Linked DNA regions of Macaca mulatta. The protein of the gene in region 1 purifies or fractionates together with the protein of each later gene. This does not show direct contact. Links are inferred from orthologs where the notes say so. Each region holds a gene or a part of one and is shown in the gene's direction. Other genes may lie near its edges.

What was found.
Region 2: the proteins of USP11 (region 1) and TCEAL1 purify together in Homo sapiens (affinity purification with mass spectrometry; 4 studies listed by BioGRID, counting the BioPlex papers as one, with this or other methods). This does not show direct contact. The link is inferred for Macaca mulatta from reciprocal best matches to the Homo sapiens genes USP11 and TCEAL1.
Region 3: the proteins of USP11 (region 1) and MYH9 purify together in Homo sapiens (affinity purification with mass spectrometry; 3 studies listed by BioGRID, with this or other methods). This does not show direct contact. The link is inferred for Macaca mulatta from reciprocal best matches to the Homo sapiens genes USP11 and MYH9.
Region 4: the proteins of USP11 (region 1) and TCEAL4 purify together in Homo sapiens (affinity purification with mass spectrometry; 3 studies listed by BioGRID, with this or other methods). This does not show direct contact. The link is inferred for Macaca mulatta from reciprocal best matches to the Homo sapiens genes USP11 and TCEAL4.
Region 5: the proteins of USP11 (region 1) and TCEAL2 purify together in Homo sapiens (affinity purification with mass spectrometry; 3 studies listed by BioGRID). This does not show direct contact. The link is inferred for Macaca mulatta from reciprocal best matches to the Homo sapiens genes USP11 and TCEAL2.

The regions. Positions count from the first base shown.
Region 1 is NC_133426.1:47,263,364-47,268,503, forward strand, and holds the start of USP11 (ubiquitin carboxyl-terminal hydrolase 11), read left to right. Parts: upstream 1-1,623; 5' UTR 1,624-1,643; coding exon 1,644-1,819; exon of another isoform or gene 1,820-2,133; intron 2,134-5,140.
Region 2 is NC_133426.1:110,264,949-110,268,280, forward strand, and holds TCEAL1 (transcription elongation factor A protein-like 1), read left to right. Parts: upstream 1-1,879; coding exon 1,880-2,359; downstream 2,360-3,332.
Region 3 is NC_133415.1:15,265,442-15,269,869, forward strand, and holds part of MYH9 (myosin-9), read left to right. Parts: intron 1-824; coding exon 825-948; coding exon of another isoform or gene 949-970; intron 971-2,786; coding exon of another isoform or gene 2,787-2,830; coding exon 2,831-3,002; intron 3,003-4,428. UniProt on the Homo sapiens protein: Cellular myosin that appears to play a role in cytokinesis, cell shape, and specialized functions such as secretion and capping. Required for cortical actin clearance prior to oocyte exocytosis. Promotes cell motility in conjunction with S100A4.
Region 4 is NC_133426.1:110,221,547-110,226,431, forward strand, and holds TCEAL4 (transcription elongation factor A protein-like 4), read left to right. Parts: upstream 1-1,910; 5' UTR 1,911-1,981; exon of another isoform or gene 1,982-2,215; 5' UTR 2,216-2,464; intron 2,465-2,552; exon of another isoform or gene 2,553-2,575; 5' UTR 2,576-2,648; exon of another isoform or gene 2,649-2,658; intron 2,659-3,006; 5' UTR 3,007-3,033; coding exon 3,034-3,684; 3' UTR 3,685-4,086; downstream 4,087-4,885. UniProt on the Homo sapiens protein: May be involved in transcriptional regulation.
Region 5 is NC_133426.1:108,873,605-108,878,380, forward strand, and holds TCEAL2 (transcription elongation factor A protein-like 2), read left to right. Parts: upstream 1-1,482; 5' UTR 1,483-1,633; intron 1,634-2,205; 5' UTR 2,206-2,289; intron 2,290-2,637; 5' UTR 2,638-2,664; coding exon 2,665-3,351; 3' UTR 3,352-3,549; downstream 3,550-4,776. UniProt on the Homo sapiens protein: May be involved in transcriptional regulation.

The DNA.
Region 1 (5,140 bases):
AAAAGGATTAGACTTCACCCAACTGCTCTGGGAAGTGGTAGGGTCACTGGTGTGGGCAGAGGTTGGCCTCTGGAAGGTGAAAAAACGGTCTAGGGCTGGAGGTCTCTTGGATTTACCTGGCTGCCCAGATAAATGGGGAGGGGGAGTCTGCAGAGGTATAATGGGGAGAATCAATTCAGAGAATCTGACAAGATTCAACTGGGCTTAAAGAGCAGCTATCTGCCATGTGTCTGACTCAACTCAAATGCCACTTTCTTTGGGGACCCTTAAGTGAAAGGGCTGCTCCCTTACCTCACCCAGCGCTTACAAAACTGACCCCTCATCTATGCCAGGTCTGGGCTGGGGGCTGGAATCAGAGTAATAAAGACACAATCCCTTCCCCGCAGAGGTTAACTGAAAATAGGTAAATTACAAGATTGTGAGGGGGAAGGGAGGTTCGAAATTAAAGTCATCACCAACAGGGCTGGCAGCCCTGGCAGAGAAAAGAATAGCATAGCCTAGTGCAGTGGTTCTCAATCAGAGACATTTTTCCCCCAAAGGACATTTGGTAATGTCTGGAAACACTTGGTTGTCCTGAGGGGTACTACTTGGTATCTAGTAGGTAGAGGCCAGGGATGCTGCTACACATCCTGCAATGCCCACAACAAAGAAATGACAGTGCTGAGGTTGAGAGACCCTGGCCTAGTGCAAGACTTCTCAAACTCTGGGCCTCGGGATTCCTTTATGTTCTTAAAAGTTTAAGACATTCAAAAGAGTTCTTGTTTATGTCATATAGCCTCTGGATTCAGAAGCCTCTAGATAATTACACTGTACACCCCTGAGAGAATGAGAGTGAAAAAGTATTGTGAAAATAGTTTTCATTTTGTGAACCCCCAAGAGGAGTTTTGGACCGGTAGACAGGCTGGGACCACACGGTTGGAGAATGTTTGACCTGGTGTTTAAGGTCACAGCTCTGGAACGAGATTTCTCAAGTTTAAACTGCAGCTCCATCACTTATTAGCTGAGGGACATTTCTGGTACTCAGCGTCCAGTTGTTACCCATGGGTGATAAGGACAGTACCTGCTGCCTGAGGCTACTATTTTAGTCCAACAAAGCACTTAAACTGGGCGGACAGCTAGTTTAGTTATGATTGCTATGACTCCAACAAACATAGGGCCTGGGGCTAACTTGCCTTCAACACCTTGTCTAGTGAATAAATCTAGTTCAGGAAGAGAAACAATGACCCGCAGGCCTAGGTGGGTCTCTGGAGGTGGAAACCTCTTTTGCATTGGGTTTTGATGGTTAAGGGTAGTACAATAAAGGGCATTCTGATCAGGCTAACAAACGCTGCTCCCAGGGTAGGAGTCCTCGCCCACCTCGCCCACCTCGGGAACCTCAGCCTCCACTTTCCATGCCACCTGTGCCCATACAGGGCGTTGGAACCCCACAAGGCACTTTTGTCTTTCTTGGTTCCCACTGAAGATTTTACCCCACCTAACCCTTCGACGCGTCTGTGCGCGGGGCCATTTCCAATATGGCAGTAGCCCCGCGACTGTTTGGGGGGCTCTGCTTCCGTTTCCGGGACCAGAATCCGGAAGTGGCTGTTGAGGGGCGTCTTCCAATCTCGCACAGCTGCGTTGGCTGTAGAGGAGAACGGACAGCGATGGCGACGGTCGCAGCAAATCCAGCTGCTGCTGCGGCGGCTGTGGCGGCGGCGGTGGCGGTGGCTGAGGATAGAGAGCCACAGCGCGAGGAGCTGCCAGGCCTAGACAGCCAGTGGCGCCAGATAGAAAACGGCGAGAGTGGGCGAGAACGTCCACTGCGGGCCGGCGAAAGCTGGTGAGGCTGGGCTGCGGTGAAGCCTCGGCAGAGGGGACAGTGGGGGCATTGACAACCGCTGGAGATTCGGCGGCCGAGGGCGGCGGGAAAGCTGCTGCGGGGTGCGGGGGCGGGGGAGTGGCCGACGGGACAGCGGGCTAAAGGGGCGGGGAAGTGTCTTTGAATGAATCGCAACGTCTGGAAAAGGGGCGGGGCCTGTGTGGTGCAGTCTGACGCCTGAGAACAAAATGGGGTTTGTTGTGATGAGACCGGTTTCAGCCCTGGAGGTGGGGCCGGGCCTGCGTAGTGAAACTGCGTAGGAACCTGGGAGGAAGGTGGGTTCTGCGATGTAAGGCGGGGGCGCGGCCTGCGCTGCGTAATGCAACTTTTGGGGGCGGGGAGCGGTCTCCGATTGCTCTGGCGTGGCTGGGAACGAGGCGAGCTTTGTGACGTCAGCAGAAGAGCGGGATGGAGCCGAACGGTCCGAGGGAGGGAGCGGGGACCTGCGTGGGGGAGGAGCTTGGAGCCTGGGAACGAGGTTAGGTTGGTGACGTGAGCCGAGGGGCGTGTTCTGAGGCCGAGGGACGACAGTGGAGGGGAGGTGGTGCCTATAAGGCAGAAAATGGCGCCTGCGAATAAGCAAAGTTTATAATGCGCAGAGGTTTTTTATTCTGGCAGAAGCCTTCCCGAGTCGAGAGAACGTGCAAGTGATTAGCACGGGAGGGGCCTTCCATGTTCAATTGATTTTCTGTCTTGGTACTGTTTTGGTTTTAGAATCAAGAAAAAGTCGTTTTTTTAAAAACCGATAATTTTGATAAATCGGCTTGTTTTACTGATTTCTTGCTAAACAGTGCTTCTTGAGATTTACTGCTTCTGGGTTCATTTTATTTCTGGCCGAGTTGCATCTGGTTTTTTAATTGTGAAATACGTAAGACCTAAGAAGATTGTATAAAACATTTACGCAGCCCAGATTGACGGACATCCTTTTAAAATAAACGGCTACACTCTTCAAAAATGTCAGGGTCGTGAAAGACAAAGGCTGAAGAACTGTTCTAAATTGAAGGAATTAATGCGATTTAACGAGTCATGATAACTAAATGCAACATGTGATCCTCGATTGGATCCTGGAACAGAAAAAAAAATTATTTTAAAAATCAATTTTTTATCATAAGATTATTTTTGTCTCTTTTACTGTAAAAGGCAATGGAAACATCGGTGAAATTTTATTAAAGTGGGTAGATATTAGTACTACTAATTTCTTAATTGTGATCATTGTGGCATGAAAAATAATACCCTTGTTTATAGGAAATGCTGAAAAATTTAGGGATAAGAACTCATTGTGTAAGCAGTTTATTCTCAAATGCCTGAAAAATTAGCATATATAAATTTATATATGGTGAGGGGAAAGGGGAAATTAGGGAGATGTTGGTCAAAGGATACAACATTTCAGTTAGACAAGAAGAATAAGTTCAGATCTATTGTACAACTATAGTTAATAAATTCATTGTATACTTGAAAATTGCTGAGAGATTTTACATGTTCTACCACCCCCCAGAAAATTGATAAGTATGTGACGTAATGGATGTGTTAATTGCCTTGACTTAGTCATTCCACAATGTATACATAAGTCAGAACTTCATGCTGTACACCATAAATATATACCATTTTTGTCCATTTTTAAATAAATAAAAATACCAAAAAAGAATGCATGTAAAGAAACAACGATTGAGCAAATGGGTAAAATATTAGATTTGGAGGATCTGGATGTGGGATATGTGGGAATTCTCTGTATTATTTTTGCCATTTTTCTCAATCTATTTCAAAGTTTAAAAATTAAATAATAATTAAATAAAAACGTGTGAATTCACCATCCAGGTTAAGATTCAGAACACTGTCTTGAGAAATCCTTCTTTGCCCCTCCCAGATGGAAATTCCCCTCCTTGCTCCATGGGAAACTGTTATCCTGAATTTTGAGTTAACAGTCTCTTCCTTTTCTTTGATGTTTGACCACAACTGTATGCATCCCTAAGTAGTATGTAATGTCTAAGCTTTCACTTTATACATATATGGAATATATATATAAAATTCTACTGGATGCATACTGTGAGCCCTTCTCTTCCTATCAGGTGATACATGGTATCCACATGACATCATTGGTGATGTTAACCTTGATCACTTGGTTATGGTAGTGTTGGCCAGGTTTCTCAACTGTAAAAGTACCGTTTTCCTCTTTACGTACGCAATAATTGTTTTTAAAACATGTATCATGTCCAACCATTCCTCAAAATACCCCTAACAGCTTCCCATCTCTTGCAACGTAGATGCTAAAATCCTTACAGTGAATCGTAAGACTTTATGAAGCTGGTCTCCAGCTTGCATTCTGATGTCTTCCCAGATCTCTCTTCTGATTACGCACTCCCTCTCTGTCTCCATCCAGGCCGGCCATATTGGACTCTTGCTGTTCCTCAAACACATCTAACCTTAGGGCTTTTTCGAGTGAGGTTTACTCACTACAGAGTTCTTTAATAACCACACCAGTGAAATGCGTATCTCTGTTACTGGGGAGATGAGTTGAGATTTTCCAGATCGGGAATACAAACCCAAGCCGTGTTTTTCTGCCATTACGTCATACCTTTCCTACAAGAAAAAGCCTCATTTCATCCTGAGAATAAACAAAATAACCACAATGTTTTATAACCCATTTGAAGATGTTCAAAAGGGCCTTGAGGCTTTGGTCCTTGCCTCTTTCTACCTTTGTGGCCTTGTGATTGTGTCACTGGTAGATAGGACATTACATCCTGTCATCCTTGACAATACCCTTTAAAATTACCCCACCAGTACTGGATTTTCTTTTGGGATGATGAACTATTTTGGAACTAGGGAGAGGTTGTGGTTATACAACTGTGAATGTTCTAAATGCCACTGAATTGTTCACTTTAAGATGGTTAATGTTATGTGAATTTCACCTCATTAAAAAAATTACCACACAAGTGTTGGTTCAGTATTGAAGCCCGTTTGTCTCTGCTGTCATGGGTATTATCATGAAGCATTTTTGCTAAACTCCACTTTGTTAATGCTTCTCTATTTAGATAAGAGCAAAGCATCTCAAGGTTCTTTATTGCTGTCCATTTTCCATTTTATAGGGGTTTGCTGAAGTGGCCAGGATATATGTATTTATAAAGCATTTTGAAATCATGGACTAACCCCAAATCATATATCTTGTATCAGTATTAATATTTGCACCTTCTGTCTTTTGTCAGCTGTTAGATTTGGGTGAGAGTAGTTAATTAATTTGGTAATCACAACTGATTTAATTTCTGGGAGAAGCTTATATTTTAAGGC
Region 2 (3,332 bases), about 63 Mb from region 1:
TTATTGCATAGTTTAATACGGAATGCCCTCCCTGCTGCATCTATCTTTTGGGGTCCAGCAGTCCCAGAACTCAAATATTTGTCAATTTAGTGAATTAATATAAACTTCCTCAACCAGAAGCACCAAGAGGTGGCTGGTTAAGGATTGAGAGTCCCAGTAAAATCTATTTATTCTATTATAAATAACTACTGATCTATATATATATGTGTGCACATGTAAATATAAGTTATTTAATATATAATATATTCAGTGTGTATACATGCATATATATGTGTGTATACACACACGGACAAATGCGTATTTGATTTACAAAAATTAAAGTATTCATTCTTTTTAGATCTACAAACTTTACAAACTTAACTCTTTCTAGAGGTCTAGAACTGAATGATTACCAATTTAGGTCTGGGGGCTCAAAAAAACAAAATGTGATGTCAAGAAAAAGTGAAAGATTGTCTCCCATGAAAGTGACAAGAGATGAAAACATGCTGAAAGAGCCTAAATGGACATGATGGAGATATGGATGTGGATTAAAACTGAGAGTGTTGGGATATAAGGATATAATACTGATTTATGAAGGTGAATAGTCAAATGTCAGTGCAGAATCTGAACTGCAGGGGAAATAAGGGGCCTTGGTGGCTAAGAAGTGAGGAGGAGAGAAAGAGGTGGTACCAGGGGAAGTAGCACAGAGGAAGAGGCAATACTACCCGAGACTAGATGCGGACCGTCTCTGGCAACCAGGAAAAGGCAAATACAAAGAGAGGTGAGTGACAATGCCTGGTGTGTCTGGGGTCAGGGAACACTAGCAGGCACTAGCAGGTGGCTGCGGCAAGGCCGCGGGTCAAAGTGGTAACTGGGGATCTGAGTTCGGCAGTGACGCGCGTCCCTCACGTGACCAGGAGCCTATGTCTGCCCAAGTCCCTCTCGTCCCGGTCTTTTTTTGCCTGTCCACCATCTCCCTATTACCTTTGGTCGAGAGGGAAAGCAGAAGGAAGTAAGTTCCCTCTACCCTCTTAAATCGGTGTGAGTGTCGGCGCTGCCTAGTAACCCGGGGAATGGGGTTGACAGAATCGGGATGGCGGAGTCCAGGCCTTTCCCTACGCTCCAGCCCCGCCTCCCGCGCCCATATTTCTGTGCAAAATATGGTGGTCTTGGGGGCGGGGTGGGAAGGCGAGTGCTTCCCCCGTCCCTCGGGAGGGAGGTACAGACACTTGGAAATAGTTTCTAAGAATGCTTCGCTTCCACTTCCCATCTGAAAAGAAATGGCAAGCTTTGCGGGGTGGGGAGGTGCGGGCACGGAGGACGAAGCTTGAAGCAGGGTCTGAGACTAGAGGAGAACCCGAGGGGTGGGGGGCGTGCAGGCAGTGGCTGGTGCCCAGAAAGTGGGGGATGGGGGGTGTCAGTCAGTCCGTCCCTCCTCCCCACTCCCCGCCCCCTACCCTGTCTTGCGTCTGTGTGCAGGTCTGCTGGTCACAGCGGGGCACCTCGAGGAGAGGACGACTAGAAGCACACGGCCCGGAAAGGTCCAGGTCAGGGAAGGGGTACGCAGTGGACCGGGACTGGGGCGCGAGGGTGGACGCCGAAAGGCATGGAGTCTGCAGGCCGCACTGTCCCGCCAGTCACTGCGGGCGAGGCCTGTAGCAAAGCCTGCTGGGAAAATGGTGGGCTTTCGGGAAGGAGGGGGCGACCGGGAAGCGGCGGAGTCGGGAGAGCCGGAGAGCCTCTGGGAAAGCGCAAGGTTGAGGGCCTGGGCCCCGAATCAGGAAAAGGCAGGTATTGGAACCCACGGTTTGGGTGTTAGTCCAGTCACTTAGTATTCTGACTCTATTCTGCCTTTCTTGTCTCCTAAGAATAACTGTGCTTGAAGAAGAAAATTCCCAACATGGACAAACCACGCAAAGAAAATGAAGAAGAGCCGCAGAGCGCGCCCAAGACCGATGAGGAGAGGCCTCCGGTGGAGCACTCTCCCGAAAAGCAGTCCCTCGAGGAGCAGTCTTCGGAGGAGCAGTCCTCGGAGGAGGAGTTCTTTCCTGAGGAGCTCCTGCCTGAGCTCCTGCCTGAGATGCTTCTCTCGGAGGAGCGCCCTCCGCAGGAGGGCCTTTCCAGGAAGGACCTGTTTGAGGGGCGCCCTCCCATGGAGCAGCCTCCTTGTGGAGTAGGAAAACATAAGCTTGAAGAAGGAAGCTTTAAAGAAAGGTTGGCTCGTTCTCGCCCGCAATTTAGAGGGGACATACATGGCAGAAATTTAAGCAATGAGGAGATGATACAGGCAGCAGATGAGCTAGAAGAGATGAAAAGAGTAAGAAACAAACTGATGATAATGCATTGGAAGGCAAAACGGAGCCGTCCTTATCCTATTTAATGTGTTCGCCCTTTAATTCTGTTTTGCCTGCTAATAGTATTGCCATTGCCACCTGGACTTTCTGTGCGTTTTCTTAATGCCTTTTCCCATATTCTGAATTTTAACTTTTTGTGAGGATTTATTTTAGATGTTTAGCTTGTAACTCGCTTAAAGTTGGGGTTTCCCCCTAAAATTTACAAGTTTCCCTCTTTCAATCATAAGTCCTATACATTTGCATGAAAGATGTACATTATATATTGTGAAACGAAAAAAGCAATTTTCAAATGGTATATATTGTATCCCATTTTTGTAAAAAATGTATATTTATATATTAATATGCAAAGAAAAAACAAAGTATATACTTCAAAGGTATAACAGTGGTTGTGTGGTAAGATAATAGGTGATTTTTAAAAATTTTGCTTTATCTGAATTTCTCATTTTTTCAAGACAAACATTTTACTTGTGTTGCAAAAATATATAATGAAAAAATCACCCAATTTTGAAAAAAACTGTCAATCAGCTTATAAAGACAATGTGGCACTTAATAAATACTTGTCAGAACTTAAAAAAAAAGTGAATCCTATGTTTTTTTCTGAATCTCTTAGGCACAAATATAAGCCAGATATTGATTATATTTAATAGTCATTTTGTTCTCATTTAAATAGGAATAATACTTGCTTTACAGTGCTGCTGTGGGACCGGATGAGAAAAAGATTGTGTGAGCTGTGTTTGGGGTCGTTATTCCACCTGCACAGGCAGGACCCCAACCCCTATAGATTCCCTGCAGACATAGGCAGGGTACCCAAAGGAGATCTCACTTGTGCTCACAAACAATTCCGGTGAGATTCCAAGTGAGTGCCACATTCTATTCATGTCCTGCTGTACTCTCAGATTCTTACAGTATCTGCTAGGCACTGCTGCTCCTTCTCCTGGGTCCTGATCCTTCCACTGGCTCTCATCCCTGCTGACATGCTGGAGTGCTTAAGGTACAAAG
Region 3 (4,428 bases), on another chromosome or scaffold:
GCTCTTCTTTGCCACCCGTGAGACCCAAGCCTTTGTAAAGGTGGCCATCTGTGCAGCATTGCAGGCGTTGGTCACTGTGGGGTTGGGGACACTTTGGTGGCTCTATATTGAGATGTGGGGTACTCCTCCACTGTCCCTGGGCGGCAGCCGTTCCTCCTGAGAATGAGCTGGTCCCTGTCAGTGTCTGCCCAGGGAGCAGATAGCAGCCGGGGAACCAGATAGAGGAGAAGGCAGCCTCCCCACCTTTTGGGGCTCCTCAGACCACGGGAGCTCCAAAGGCTGAGGTGGCAGGACGTCCGCCCGGGACTGGGATGAGAGGACTGAGGCGCTTGTGCCAAGCTCTGGCCCCTGGGCAGGGGTGTTGTGGGGGCCACACAGAACAGAAAGCAAGGAGAGCAGCCCGGGGTACCGCGGGGCTAAAGAGGGGGAGGGGCTGTGGCCCCCCTGGCAGGTGAGAGAGGGGCACGGAGAAGGTGGCCTGGTGGCGCAGGTGAGCGCCGTATGGCAGCCTCCTGAAGGAGTGGAGCCATCTGTCCCTGCTGACACTAGCTGTCACCTGGAAGCCTTTCTCACCCAAGCCCACAGGGGAAGGGGAAGGGCTTGGGCACCCACATTTTTCGATCCTGAGGAAGCATATACCTCACTGTTTCAGGGAAGCTGGTGACCTTTCAAAATTATCCTTTGATCCAGGAAAATCCTCATGAACTTGATCAAGTGTCTAAAGCCCTCTCCATTCAGCCCCAAATTTCCGGGCGAGTCATGCTTTGAGGCTAGTGTTCTCTGCTCAACGGACACTAAATGCCGGCCTACTCCCCTCTCCCCAGGAAAAGAAACTGCTGGAAGACAGGATAGCTGAGTTCACCACCAACCTCACGGAAGAGGAGGAGAAATCTAAGAGCCTCGCCAAGCTCAAGAACAAGCATGAGGCAATGATCACCGACTTGGAAGGTGAGAGGGTGACGGGCAGGAGGTGATGGGCAGGGGCTGGCGGGCAGGGGCTGGCCTGTCTGACCGGAACACGGAGGCCTCCTCAGCTCACGGGTGAGCCTGGGCCACACTACAGCACTGGCTGCTGCCCTTCAGACCTGAGGTCACAGGTCGAGGGGAGCCGTGTCTGGTGCCTGCGGGAGCCTGAGCCTCCAGGCCCCTGTTGTTCTGTGGCTAGTTGCCCCCCTGCATGAAGTGTGTTTAAAGGAGAGCTTTGGCGCTGCCCTGTTGTCGTGTGCCGTGGGTTTTGGAAGCTTCTGAGACTGCCTAGGAGGCTCTGGGTTTGGCCCACAGGACTCACTAGCTCTGTCACTGACTAGCTGGCTCATCTTACACCTGTGACTTAAGCTCCATGAGCTTTAGTTTTACCTAAAAAGGGGACACAGTGCTAGGGTACTGTGAAAATTTCATTAAATACATGTGAACACGTATGTACCGTAAAGTCCTTGACAGTTACTGCGGAAGCTCATTTGGGGCAGGGTGACAGATCCTGCCTTGTCTCTGTGTGCCCCGGGGATCTGTGGCAGGGAGGGGCGCTGGGGTAGAACACAGGTCCGTGGTTGTCTGAGGACCCCCGGCCCTGCCCCTTGAGAGGAGTTGACAACTGGGGGAACAGGAGAACCCTGACTATTGTGGGAACTCTGAGCTCATACCCAGGGGAGGGAGGCCACAGCCTGACTGCCGGGAGGATTTTCCCCGGCTTGGTGTCACAGCCTTGTCCAGCCCCCTCACATCTGCAGGGGATGAGGTGAGTCAGGTCCAGCGGAAGAGAGGTCTGGACACTAGAGAGATCTCTTAGCCCACAGATACCCTGCCTCACCTGGGAGGAGCGCGGAAGACTTGGTCATCCAGGAGGTCTAGGGGTGGCGCCCACCAGGTGGACAGACATGAAAGGTTGACACTAATAAGCGCTAACACAGACACGGAGCCGTCAGAGCACACACACGCTGCTGCTGGGACTGCAGACTGGTAGACGGCGTTAGAGAACGATCCAGCGGTCCTAGTGAGGTTGAAGCTTGGCATGCTGGTGACCCGGCCGTTCCATCCATCACTCAGCCGTCTGCGCTGAGAGTGAGCAGGATGCTTGCAGCAGCGTTGTGTATCAGAGTGTGCGATGAACACAGCCCCATGCCTGCCAGCTGCAGGACGGGTACATAAATAAGTTGTGGTGTATTCACATCATGGAATGCTAGATAAATGTCCATACACATCTATTCCAGCAAAACTTCACGGGCTACATCTCAAGACCATGGGATGGGGTGGCAAAGGCATGGCAGGGAATAAACATCACCAGCCAGGCACTGTTCTAGGTGCTTTTTAAGATAGTAACTCATTGGCCCCTCACACCATCCTAATGAAGTAGGCCGTCTCCTTTTGTTTGTTATTCAGACGAGGTATAGAAAGTAGCTTTCCCTAGTGACATCACAGAGTTATAAAGCTAGACACCGAGCCCTGACTCTGTGATTCCAACTGTGGAATTCACACAAGGCAGTTCCATCTTAAAAGTTGAGATTCGCACAAAATTGAACATGTTTTTTAGAGATACAGACATGGTACAACCTTCAAGGGAACCAAGGGGGTTACGAACACCAGCTTTAGGAGAGTACTTAACTCCTGGCAGGGAAGGACGAGGGGTGAGTTGGAGAGAGACACGCCAGGGGCTGGCAGTTTGCGGTGATGTCCTCTTCCTGCGTGCAGGAGTTGGGTGTGAGTGTCTGTGTATTTGTGATGCTTTCAGCCTGACACACGTTTCATAACGAGTGCTCGGTATTTTGTATAAGTAATTGACACGGAGACAGAACCCACGGCACTGAGGGCTATGTGGGCTCCCCGCTCCTTGCAGAGCGCCTCCGCAGGGAGGAGAAGCAGCGACAGGAGCTGGAGAAGACCCGCCGGAAGCTGGAGGGAGACTCCACGGACCTCAGCGACCAGATCGCCGAGCTCCAGGCGCAGATTGCGGAGCTCAAGATGCAGCTGGCCAAGAAAGAGGAGGAGCTCCAGGCCGCCCTGGCCAGGTGAGGACCCCGCCTGAGGCCAGGTGGCCTGGGCCAGCCCTTTCTGCTTGCTGCTGGGCCTAGTTCTCTGCACCAGAGAGCTGTGAGCATTCTTTCCACTGTTGTCTTAGAAGAGCCATTTATTTCATAGCAAAGCAGTTCTTGTGCACTCAGGGCACAGTGAGGGGCCTCATTTGTCTTTTGTTTATTTGTTTGTAATTTGAAAAAAAGTCATCCACAACTCTATCACCCACCTACAATAGTCCTTTGCTAATTTCTTGCTATAGGTACACTTAAAAAAAAAAGACTTGGCCAGGCATGTTGGCTCATGTCTGTGATCCCAGCACTTTGGGAGGCCAAGCTGGATGGATCACTTGAGGTCAGGAGTTCGAGACCAGCCTGGCCAACATGGTGAAGCCCCCATCCCTACCAAAAATATAAAAAATTCGCCAGGGTGGTGGCACACGACTGTAATCTCAGCTACTCAGGAGCCTGAGGCAGGAGAATCCCTTGAACCCAGGAGGCAGAGGTTGCAGTCAGCCAAGATCGCGCCACTGCACCCCAGCCTAGGTGACAGAGCGAGACTCTGTTTTTAAAAAAAAAAAAAAAAAAAAGAAAGCGACTTTATTTTGTAGAGTAGTTTTAGATTCACAGCAGGAATCAGCAGAAGTTTCTCCATCTTCCGCTGCCCCACTCACGCACCGCTTCCCCAGCTGCCAACACCCCCCAGTGCAGTGGTGTGTTTGTTCTAATTGGTGAACCTACGTTGACTCCTCACAACCATCTAAAGTCCATAGCACTTTCATATTTTTACTGAGTTACAGTCATCCTGTGGTGTAATATTTTATTTCCTTTTCTTCCCATTTAACAAATCATTTGACTTTTTTTTTTTTTTTTTTTTTTTTTTTGAGACAGAGTCTCGCTCTGTCGCCCAGGCTGGAGTGCAGTGGCGCAATCTCGGCTCACTGCAAACTCTGCCTCCCGGGTTCACGCCATTCTCCTGCCTCAGCCTCCAGAGTAGCTGGGACTACAGGCGCCCGCCACCACTCCCGGCTAATTTTTTTGTGTTTCTAGTAGAGACGGGGTTTTGCAGTGTTAGCCAGGATGGTCTCGATCTCCTGACCTCGTGATCTGCCCGCCTCGGCCTCCCAAAGTGCTGGGATTACAGGTGTGAGCCACCGCGCCCGGCCACAAATCATTTGACTTTTAAAAATATTTGAAGCAGTGAATCTTACTTTGGAAATTGAAAGGATTCCTCTATGAGGTTTTCTAGTTCTCAGAGGGGTGTTGCCCTTCAGTCTGGTTGCCTCAGATGTTGTTTCTACTGAGAGCCACCCTAAGTGCCATGATTGTGACCACCAGAGGCAGCTTTGGCTGCCGCACCTCTCTCAGGCCTGTCCCGCAAACTCTGCTCCTTGGAGGTGAAACTGACCTTATACTGATGTTG
Region 4 (4,885 bases), about 63 Mb from region 1:
ACAAGGTCAGGAGATCGAGACCATCCTGGCTAACACGGTGAAACCCTGTCTCTACTAAAAAATACAAAAAACTAGCCGGGCGAGGTGGCGGGCGCCTGTAGTCCCAGCTACTCGAGAGGCTGAGGCAGGAGAATGGTGTAAACCCGGGAGGCGGAGCTTACAGTGAGCCGAGATCCAGCCACTGCACTCCAGCCTGGGCGACAGAGCAAGACTCCGTCTCAAAAAAAAAAAAAAAAAAGTGAAATTACTGACACAAAAGATCAAATATTAATTTTTTTTTTGAGATGAAATCTCACTCTCTCCCCCAGGCTGGAGTGCAATGGCATGATCTCGACTCACTGCAACCTCTGCCTCCCGGGTTCAAGCAATTCTCCTGCCTCAGCCTATGAAATAGCTGGGATTATAGGCACCCGCCACCACGCCCAGCTAGTTTTGGTATTTTTAGTAGAGAGGGGGTTTCACCATTCTGGTCAGGCTGGTTTTGAACTCCTGACCTCAGGTGATCCACCCGCCTCAGCCTCCTAAAGCACTGGGATTACAGGTGTGAGCCACCGTGCCTGGCCAATATTTTTATTTTTAAATAATTTACAAAGTTGATCTTCAGAAAAATTTCACCAATATATTCAATAAGAGCAGGGGAGGGTGCATGTGTCCCCAGTCCTTCAACAAATCTGTTAAAAATTTTCATGTAATCTAATCTATCAGCATTTGTCTCTTTGTTATATAGTCACACTGCATATCGATTGGCCAACGACAACAGACAGCATAGAATACGACAGGCTATAGTATACAGCCTAGGAGTGTAGTAGGCTATACCATATAGGTTTGTATAACCACACTCTACGATGTTCGCACCACCACGAAATTGCCTGATGCATTTCTCAGAACATATCCCCATTATTAAGTGGCACGTGACTATATTTAAACGCCTTCCACACCAAAAGCTTATGTGGAGATAAACGGAGACTACCCATAAGAGAACAAACAAGTGCTACTTATTCACAGCTTTTTTATAGCAAGGAAGTCAAGCCACCATCATTTGAATCTGGCAGAGATTCAAAGACAGGCAGGGGAGTGGGAAAGCTTTATAGCGGAAAACAAAAACACAAAGACTTCAAGTATGCTCTGATTGGATGTTGTTGACGTGAGGAAGCTAGAGGCAGGCCAACTAGAGGCAAGCATCCTATGTGATTGAGTATGGGTTCATATTTGGGTTTTTCTTGTTTGTCATCAGGTCAAAAAAATTAAAAAGGCCAGAAAGGCTAGCAAATTGATTAAAGTCCTGAACATTTCTGCAGATGCTATACTTTGGCTTCTTGAGCTGCTTGCAGCAACGGTTGTGGGTCTCAGTTCTATTTTCGTATGTGGTCTGGTCATTGTCTCTGTATATTCAGTTTCTCACTTAAGATAAATTAATCGTTTTTATTTTGCTTCAAATATAACTTTTTTTATTCATTTGAAAATTTATGTTTGTACATGTCAGGAAAAAGGGACAATTTCATTTATTTTGGAAAATTTTTATTAAGTTTTTTCTAAAGTCGATATTCTATTCTTTATACAGTACTTGAGTTCACATTTATACGATTTTATCGGGTGGGTCTACGTTATTTCTGTGGAATTTAAGAGCAACATTATCAAGACTCCTCCTCTGGACCGCCCAACTCATTAAAAAAAAAAAAACAACTTTGCGATTTTCATTAAAATTCCTTCTTTGATTAATTTCTTAACAAGAAGAAAAGGACAAAAGGGTCCAGGGAGGTGAGAGGGTACCTGCTGGAGAGAGGTGGTGGGTAGCTGGAAGCGGCTGGCTAGGAGGCGGGGCGTGGGGCGTGCGGCGGTGGAACTCCTGTGCTGCGGCATTCACGTGATCTGCCTGGGCGCAGATGTGGGCACCGGTCCGAGTGCCCGCCCTCTGTCCCCGCGGCTGGGTCCCGTCTGCTCCAGTTCCTGGGCTCCTAATTCTTGGTCCAGCTTCCTCCAGGTCAGTGTGCGGGCCTTCCACGCTGCCAGCGGAATGCTGGAATGGCGGAAGGGGAACGGGTACAGTACCGGGAAAGGCTGGGGGTGGGGTCGGGTCGAGTCGAGGGAAGCTGGCCCGAGTGTGGACAGAGATGGCGGTGGGAAAACGGCTAAAGGTGGCTGAGGGGGAGCACGTAGGCAGTGGGCAGAGGGTGAGGAAGGCGAGCACCTCCAAGTATCCAAGCTCGCTTTCCAGGCACATCCTCTTTTCTGCCCTCCGTCCATTTTGGAGCCGGAGATGGTGGGCTGGGGACGCCCCAGTAGTGAGACAGTGGAAGTAAACCCCCTCTGCCGTTCCCGTACATAGAGAAAAACGTTGACCGCGAGGCTGGGGAGGAGAGTTGCCTCTGAGGAAGAAAGACATAGAGACCCAAAATTAGTTTGGAAAGCATCCTGGTTTGGTGCCCGAGGCCTGGAAAGAAATGGCGGCTGGGGTGCGGGGGAGGTAGGGGAGGAAAACGTTGGATGAGAAGGGCCTGGACTCAGGAAAGGGAACCGAGTCCCTGTGAGCCCGCTGAGCGCGCAGCCCCTACCCCTGTCTCCTGTCTGTCCGCAGGTCTGCGCGTCTGTTGTTCCCAGCGCTCTGCGAAGCCTGAAAAAGAGGAGCAACCTGTCCAGAATCCCCGCAGGTCCGTGAAAGTAGGGGGCTGCATGGACAGGGGCCCACAAGGGTTGAGAGTGTGGAGGGCCCGGCCAGAGCCGAATTGGGGCCCCCGCCCATCCCCCCACCCACATTAACACACACCTTACCAGGCTGAACCACTGCAGAGAAAGTGACAGGGCTTGCCAGGCAATGGCTGGCTCACGTGTGTGGGAGGAGTGGCAGGCTACGTGGTGGGCAGAAGGCCCTCTTGGAGGCCCCGCCAGCTCAGGGGAACCCTCATCAGGGGTGAGATGCAAGTACTATCCAGACCTGCATTTCATCCCACGCACTCAGTCTCCCATGTCTCCTCTTTGTCTCCTCTTCCCTCCACCCCCATCCCCCAGGGCACGAAAAGGAGGGGAAATCTCGACATGGAAAAACTCTACAATGAAAATGAAGGCATGGCTTCAAACCAAGGAAAGATGAAAAATGAAGAACAGCCACAGGACGAGAGAAAGCCAGAAGTAGCTTGTACTCTGGAAGACAAGAAGTTGGAAAACGAGGGAAAGACAGAAAACAAGGGCAAAACAGGAGATGAGGAAATGTTAAAGGATAAAGGAAAGCCGGAGAGTGAGGGAAAGGCAAAAGAAGAAGGAAAGTCAGAGAGGGAGGGAGAGTCAGAGATGGAGGGAGGATCAGAGAGAGAGGGAAAACCAGGGATAGAGGGAAAGCCAGAGAGTCAAGGAGAGCCAGGGAGTGAAACAAGGGCTGCAGGAAAGCGCCCAGCTGAGGGTGATGTACCCAGGAAAGCCAAAAGAAAAACTAATAAGGGGCTGGCTCATTACCTCAAGGAGTATAAAGAGGCCATACACGATATGAATTTCAGCAATGAGGACATGATAAGAGAATTTGACAATATGGCTAAGGTGCAGGATGAGAAGAGAAAAAGCAAACAGAAATTGGGGGCGTTTTTGTGGATGCAAAGAAATTTACAGGACCCCTTCTACCCTAGAGGCCCAAGGGAATTCAGGGGTGGCTGCAGGGCCCCACGAAGGGACATTGAAGACATTCCTTATGTGTAGTGTCCCTGGCAGGCATTTACCAGGCCATGTGCTTTACCCCTACGGTAGTACTTTACTTTAGGCATCCCTCCTGTTACTAGCAGCCTTTTGACCCAACTGCAACGCGGTGTTCTTAGTAGCAAATTTTCCTCCGTTACATGGAAAGAATGTTGATGGTGCATTGTAAAATTAAAAAACACAACTTGCAGAACCAAACATATGGCATCAGTACATTTTTGTAAAACTACAAAGATACCTAGTAATTTATGTATAGAAAACAATTCTGAAAGCTGTGTCAACTAAAAGATTAACAGTGGTTATCTGTGCGTGATTTTTTCTGTACTTTTTTGTTCATCTGTCCATTTTTCTCCTAAAAACAGATTTCTTAATCATAAAAATAATAAAAGTTAAAATATTGGAAAACAGTGAATATTTGAATTTCATTCATTTGAATAAGCATTCAAATGAACTGCCCAGTGAACTTATAAAGACAGTGGATATACTTAAAATTCTTGTTGTCAGGACATAAAATGATGGGTAAAAGTTGCATTACCTCTGGGACTGGAAGCTGGAGGAGTCAACTCGATGGTTATTACAGCTCCATTGCTGTAAGGGACAGCCTTGACATCTGTGAAACGGGGATAAAATTAGCCTAGACATGTGGAGAAGATCAAATGAGGTATTGAGTGTGTGAGCTGTGTTAGGCTGGCTCCTACTCTCTCCCCTTGCACTAGCAGAACCAGTACCCAGTCAGACGCTTGGGGAGGGCTGAAGGAGGTCTCACCTGTGCCCAGAAATAAGTCCAGACAGCTGAGAGATGGGTGCCACTCTTTCTGGGTAATGCCATACTTGAAAGGTAGTATGCCCCTTTCTCATGGATCCTGCACCCTCCTAAGGCAGTAGCTGCTGCTGCTGGGCTGGAGACCATGATGGACTAAGCAACACTATGTCCCAACAGAAAAGTGGAGAATTCCGTCTCTACCTACAATAGAGTTATCCTAATTCAGGTTGTTAGTACCCAATTGTCACTTGGGCCTTGATATTTTATAAAGTTTTTACAAAACACTGCTTTCCATGTTTTTTGTTGACTTGTGTGTGTTTTTGCATATAGCCGTTTTCCACCAGATTTAGATAGTGGAGATTGAGCCAGGAGAAAAAGCTGAGTGACGAGATGCTGTGCTATTCTCATTTGTTAATCTCTAGTCTGCTGACCCTTTTTTCT
Region 5 (4,776 bases), about 62 Mb from region 1:
TTAAAATCACTATAATTAGATGATTAAAACAGAAAAGCAGTTCTTTTCAACTGATTTGATATTATTTTCATCAAATTCTTGAATAATTATAATAATTTTATGAAAGTTTATACTGAGGAAATGGAAACACCTAGCCTCTATAATTCAGGAAAAAATTCAACATTGAGGACAGTACTGTTGGTTATGTGGTGATAATGACAAACACACATATTGATAGAGCAAAATATTGTAGGAAGATCGAGGTTTTACTAAATGAAGATGTGTAGCAGAAATATCAGAATTGTTTGTGTAACATACATAATTCATAATCATATAATCATGATAAGGTATTTTGCAAACCAAAATAGTTGTTGCCCAGATTTACACACACAAAAAAACACACGACATACACATATATATGTACACAATATACATCTACACATATATGTGTGTATAAATAAACATATGTGTATATATACATATACATGTCACTACACTGTAGAAGTTAAAATATTGGTAACTTTTAGTTTTTGTGGGTGGTAGCTTCACAAATGTGAAAGAAAAGGAAAGAAAAAAAGACAAAGGATGGGCAGGGAAAGACATAACAGGACAGGAAAGAAAAGGGAAGGAAGAGGGACAAGCAGGGATCAATAATAAGGGTGTCTTGTAAACCAAGGACTATGATGAATTTGTGCATCTGAAATTCATATTTAAAAGGTTTTAATGCTTTCTTTTCTACCTGTCTGAGATTCTCTCTCTATGAAAACTGATCAAATGTTGGAAGGTAAGTTTCAAGTGCACAGAGAGGCCATGGGAGATGGCAAGAAGGAAGTTGGTGAAATAAATTTGGGGTACACGGGCTTTTAGGTCCCTCAAGGACTCTCGGGCGGTGATGTCCAATAGAGAGTTGGCAAAGTTGATATGAGACACGGAGAAGGGAATAGCCTGGAGATGTAGATCTGGGAGTCATCGGTGCTTTCTGGAAATGAATGAGATCACACAGGGAGAGACAACTTGAGGACTGAGGAGAGAGGAGGCCCAGGACAGAACCCCAGGAACACCGCCACTCAAGGTGGCAGCTCAGCTTCCTGGCAGGCGTCACTACCCCGGGCTCTGGAGTCAGGCAGAGCCAGTATTGAAAGTGGGCTGTGGAGTTCTGGGGCTGAGCGCTCTTGGCAAAGTCGGGTACCCTCTTTGATCAGCTGTCACACCTGGCGATAATGGGCATCAGAGAGAGATGCCTTGCGAGGATGCTGTGAGCTGCGTCAGGTAAAGCACCTGGGGTCAGAAAGCCACCCCTCCTCCTCTTCTCCGCGACCCCACTTTGCTACACAAACGCACCGAGACTCCGACAGTCCCCAGCCTCCGGTCCCTCAGGGATGGAAGATGAGGTATGTCAGGCAAGAGGGGGCGCCGAGCTCCAGGGTGAGGTGTGTCGGGCAAGAGCTGGGCCGAGCTCCAGTGACGCGGCGCTCACGTGACCCGTCGGACGCCTACGTGGGCACCAGCCCCCACGCCAGCCCGCCAGCCAGCCCAGCGGTCGGGTCCCGGCGCCCGCGCAGAATAAGCTGTCTGAGCTGCCCAGACTGCTGGGGAGCAGCGAGCCGGCTTCCGCGAGCCGGAGGAAGCACAGGCGTGTCCTGGGTACCCGCAGGTCAGTGTGAAAGCGGGCGCTGTCGGCGGCCCCTGGGACAGGGGTGGAGGGGGCTGGCAGTAGGATTGGGGAGGGAGCGGAGAAGGAATCCTGTAGATTGGTGAGGAAGGGGATGCCTGCGGAGCGGACCGGGGTGGGGACAGGGGAGGGAGAACTCCCGAAGCGAGCCTGGCTCGCCTTCACGACGCCCCCTTGCACTGAGTCATCCATCCATTTTTAGTGCTAGAAATGAGGGGTGGGGGTAGCGACTCCGCAGTGCGACAGTGAAACGTAGACATATTCTAGAAATAATCCCTTCTCACAATCTATGCCCATAGAAACACTTGATCTCCGCAAAAATGGGGTGGCGCTGGGGCAGGTTGTCTCAGGGAAGGGGGACACAGAGACAAACGCAGTTTGGAAAGCATCCTGGTTTGGTGCCCGAGGCCTGGAAAGAAATGGCGGTTGGGGTGCGGGGGATGTAGGGGAGAAAAACATTGGGTGAACAGGGCCTGGACTCAGGAAAGGGAACCGAGTCCCCTGTGAGCCCGCTGAGCGCGCAGTCCCTGCCCCTGTCTCCTATCTGTCCGCAGGTCTGCGCGTCTGTTGTTCCCAGCGCTCTAAGAGGCCTGAAAAGGAGGAGCAACCTGTCCAGAATCCCCCGCAGGTCCGTGAAAGCAGGGGGCTGCATGGACAGGGGCCCACAAGGGTTGAGAGTGTGAAGGACCCAGCTAGGGCCGAATCGGGGCCCCTGCCCTTCCACCCACCCACATGAACACACACTTTACCAGGCTGAACCAGTGCAGAGAAGGTGGCAGGGCCTGTCAGGGAACAGCTGGCTCACGTGTGTGGGAGGAGTGGCAGGCTATGTGGTGGGCAGAAGGCCCTCTTGGAGGTCCGGTCAGCTTAGGGGAACCCTCACCAGGGGTGAGATGCAAGTAGTATCCAGACCTGCATTCCACGCCAGGCCCTCAGTCTCCCATGTCTCCTCTTTGTCTCCCCTTCCCTCAACCCGCATCCCCCAGGAAAGGAAAAGGAGGGGAAATCTCGACATGGAAAAATTCTTCAATGAAAATGAAGGAATGCTTTGGAACCAAGGAAAGATAGAAAATGAAGAACAGCCACCGGACGAGGGAAAGCCAGAAGTAGCTTGTACTCTGGAAGACAAGACGTTAGAAAACGAGAGAAAGACAGAAAACAAGGGCAAGACAGGAGATGAGGAACCGTTAAAGGATAAAGAAAAGCCAGAGAGTGCAGGAAAGGCAAAAGGAGAAGGAAAGTCAGAGAGGAAGGGAAAGTCAGAGATGGAGGGAGGATCAGAGAGAGAGGGAAAGCCAGAGAGAGGGGGAAGGGCAGAGGGGGAACGAGAGCCAGACAGTGAAAGAGAGCCAGAGAGTGAGGGAGAGCCAGAAAGTGAAAGGAGGTCTGCAGGAAAGCGCCCAGCTGAGGATGATATACCCAGGAAAGCCAAAAGAAAAACAAACAAGGGGCTGGCTCAGTACCTCAAGCAATATAAGGAAGCCATACATGATATGAATTTCAGCAATGAGGACATGATAAGAGAATTTGACAACATGGCTAGGGTGGAGGATAAAAGGAGAAAAAGCAAACAGAAATTGGGGGCGTTTTTGTGGATGCAAAGAAATTTACAGGACCCCTTCTATCCTAGGGGTCCAAGGGAATTCAGGGGTGGCTGCAGGGCCCCACGAAGGGACACTGAAGACATTCCTTACGTGTAGTGTCCCTGGCAGGCATTTATCAGGCCATATGTTTTAACCTTATGGTAATACTTTGCTTTAGTTGTTCCTCCTGCTACCAGTAGCCTTTTGACCCACCTGCCAGTGCTTGCTTGCTCTATGTTTCAGTAGCAGATTTTCACACCTGTGCATTTCAGAGACGTCATGATTCATGGAAAAATAAAGCAGCTTGTAATATCATCTGCAGAATCTGTCTGTTTTTGTTAAATACATGAAAGGTTAACAGTGGTTTTCTGAGTTGTGAGCTAGCAGGTGATTTCATTTCTTTGTTTTCTTTCTTTCTACTAATCTTTCTTTTCCCAGAGAACACAAATTACTTTTCTCACAAAAATAATAAAATATTTTTAAAAATCAGAACACAGTATGTAAAAAACAAAGAGAATAACTGTCCAGTGAACTTATGAAGTTCAGTAGAGACACTTAAAGTTCTTGTTGTCAGAACTTAAAACGATAGGTAAAATTCACATTACCTACCTGTGGGACTCATCTGGAGAAGTCAACCTGGGGTTATTACAGATCCATTGCTCTAATGGACAGTCTTGTTGTTTGTCAAATGGAGATAATACTTCGCTTTTCAGAACTGCTGAGTGGGTTGGATGAGGTAGAGAATATATGTGTTGGGTTGGCATCTACCTTCTCCCCTGCTCTAGCAGAAAAAATACCCCCTCAGACACTTGGAAGAGAACTAGGGTAAATCTTACCTGTATCCAGGAATAAGTCTAGGAAACTGAAAGGTGGGTGCCATCCTTTCTTAGACAATGTCATGTCCACTGGGCACTGCGCTCCTTCTTATAAATCTTGCACCCTCCTAAAGCTCCCATTGATGCTGATGGGCTGAAGTTCTCAAGATAACAAGGTCCGGTTGATTTCCCTGGAGTCCCCAGTGAGCCAAGCCTACTGACCCCATTCCACGACACCTACGAAAATGTGGATAAAGTCCCTTTCCTCACTTTAGAGTTATACTCGCCCAATAGGGTAACACCTCAGTGATACTTCAGTCCCTGGGGGATTTCAGATTTTTAGTAAAACAATTGTTTCTATGCTTGTTGGTTTGGAAGTGTTTGCATACAGCCATCTTTCCACCAGATTCAAGGATAGAAGGCTGGGGTAAAATTTGAGTGACACACATTCATCTGTTCTCATCTGTCAGTGACTTGTATGCTTGACTCATCTTTCCTTAGAGGAATTTCTCTTCTAGGAAAGTTCTTCCAGGTCTCACCTTACCAGTTTAACACCCCTACCCACATTTGTAATTTTTAGAGCAATGCTACTCAAATAGTGGTTCATGGACTAGCTGCATCAGCATCAACTGAAAGATAGAAATGTAGAATCTCAGATCCTCACCCCAGACCTACTGAATGAGAATCTTTTCTGGTTTTAATAAGATCTGCAGGTGATTCCTGTACA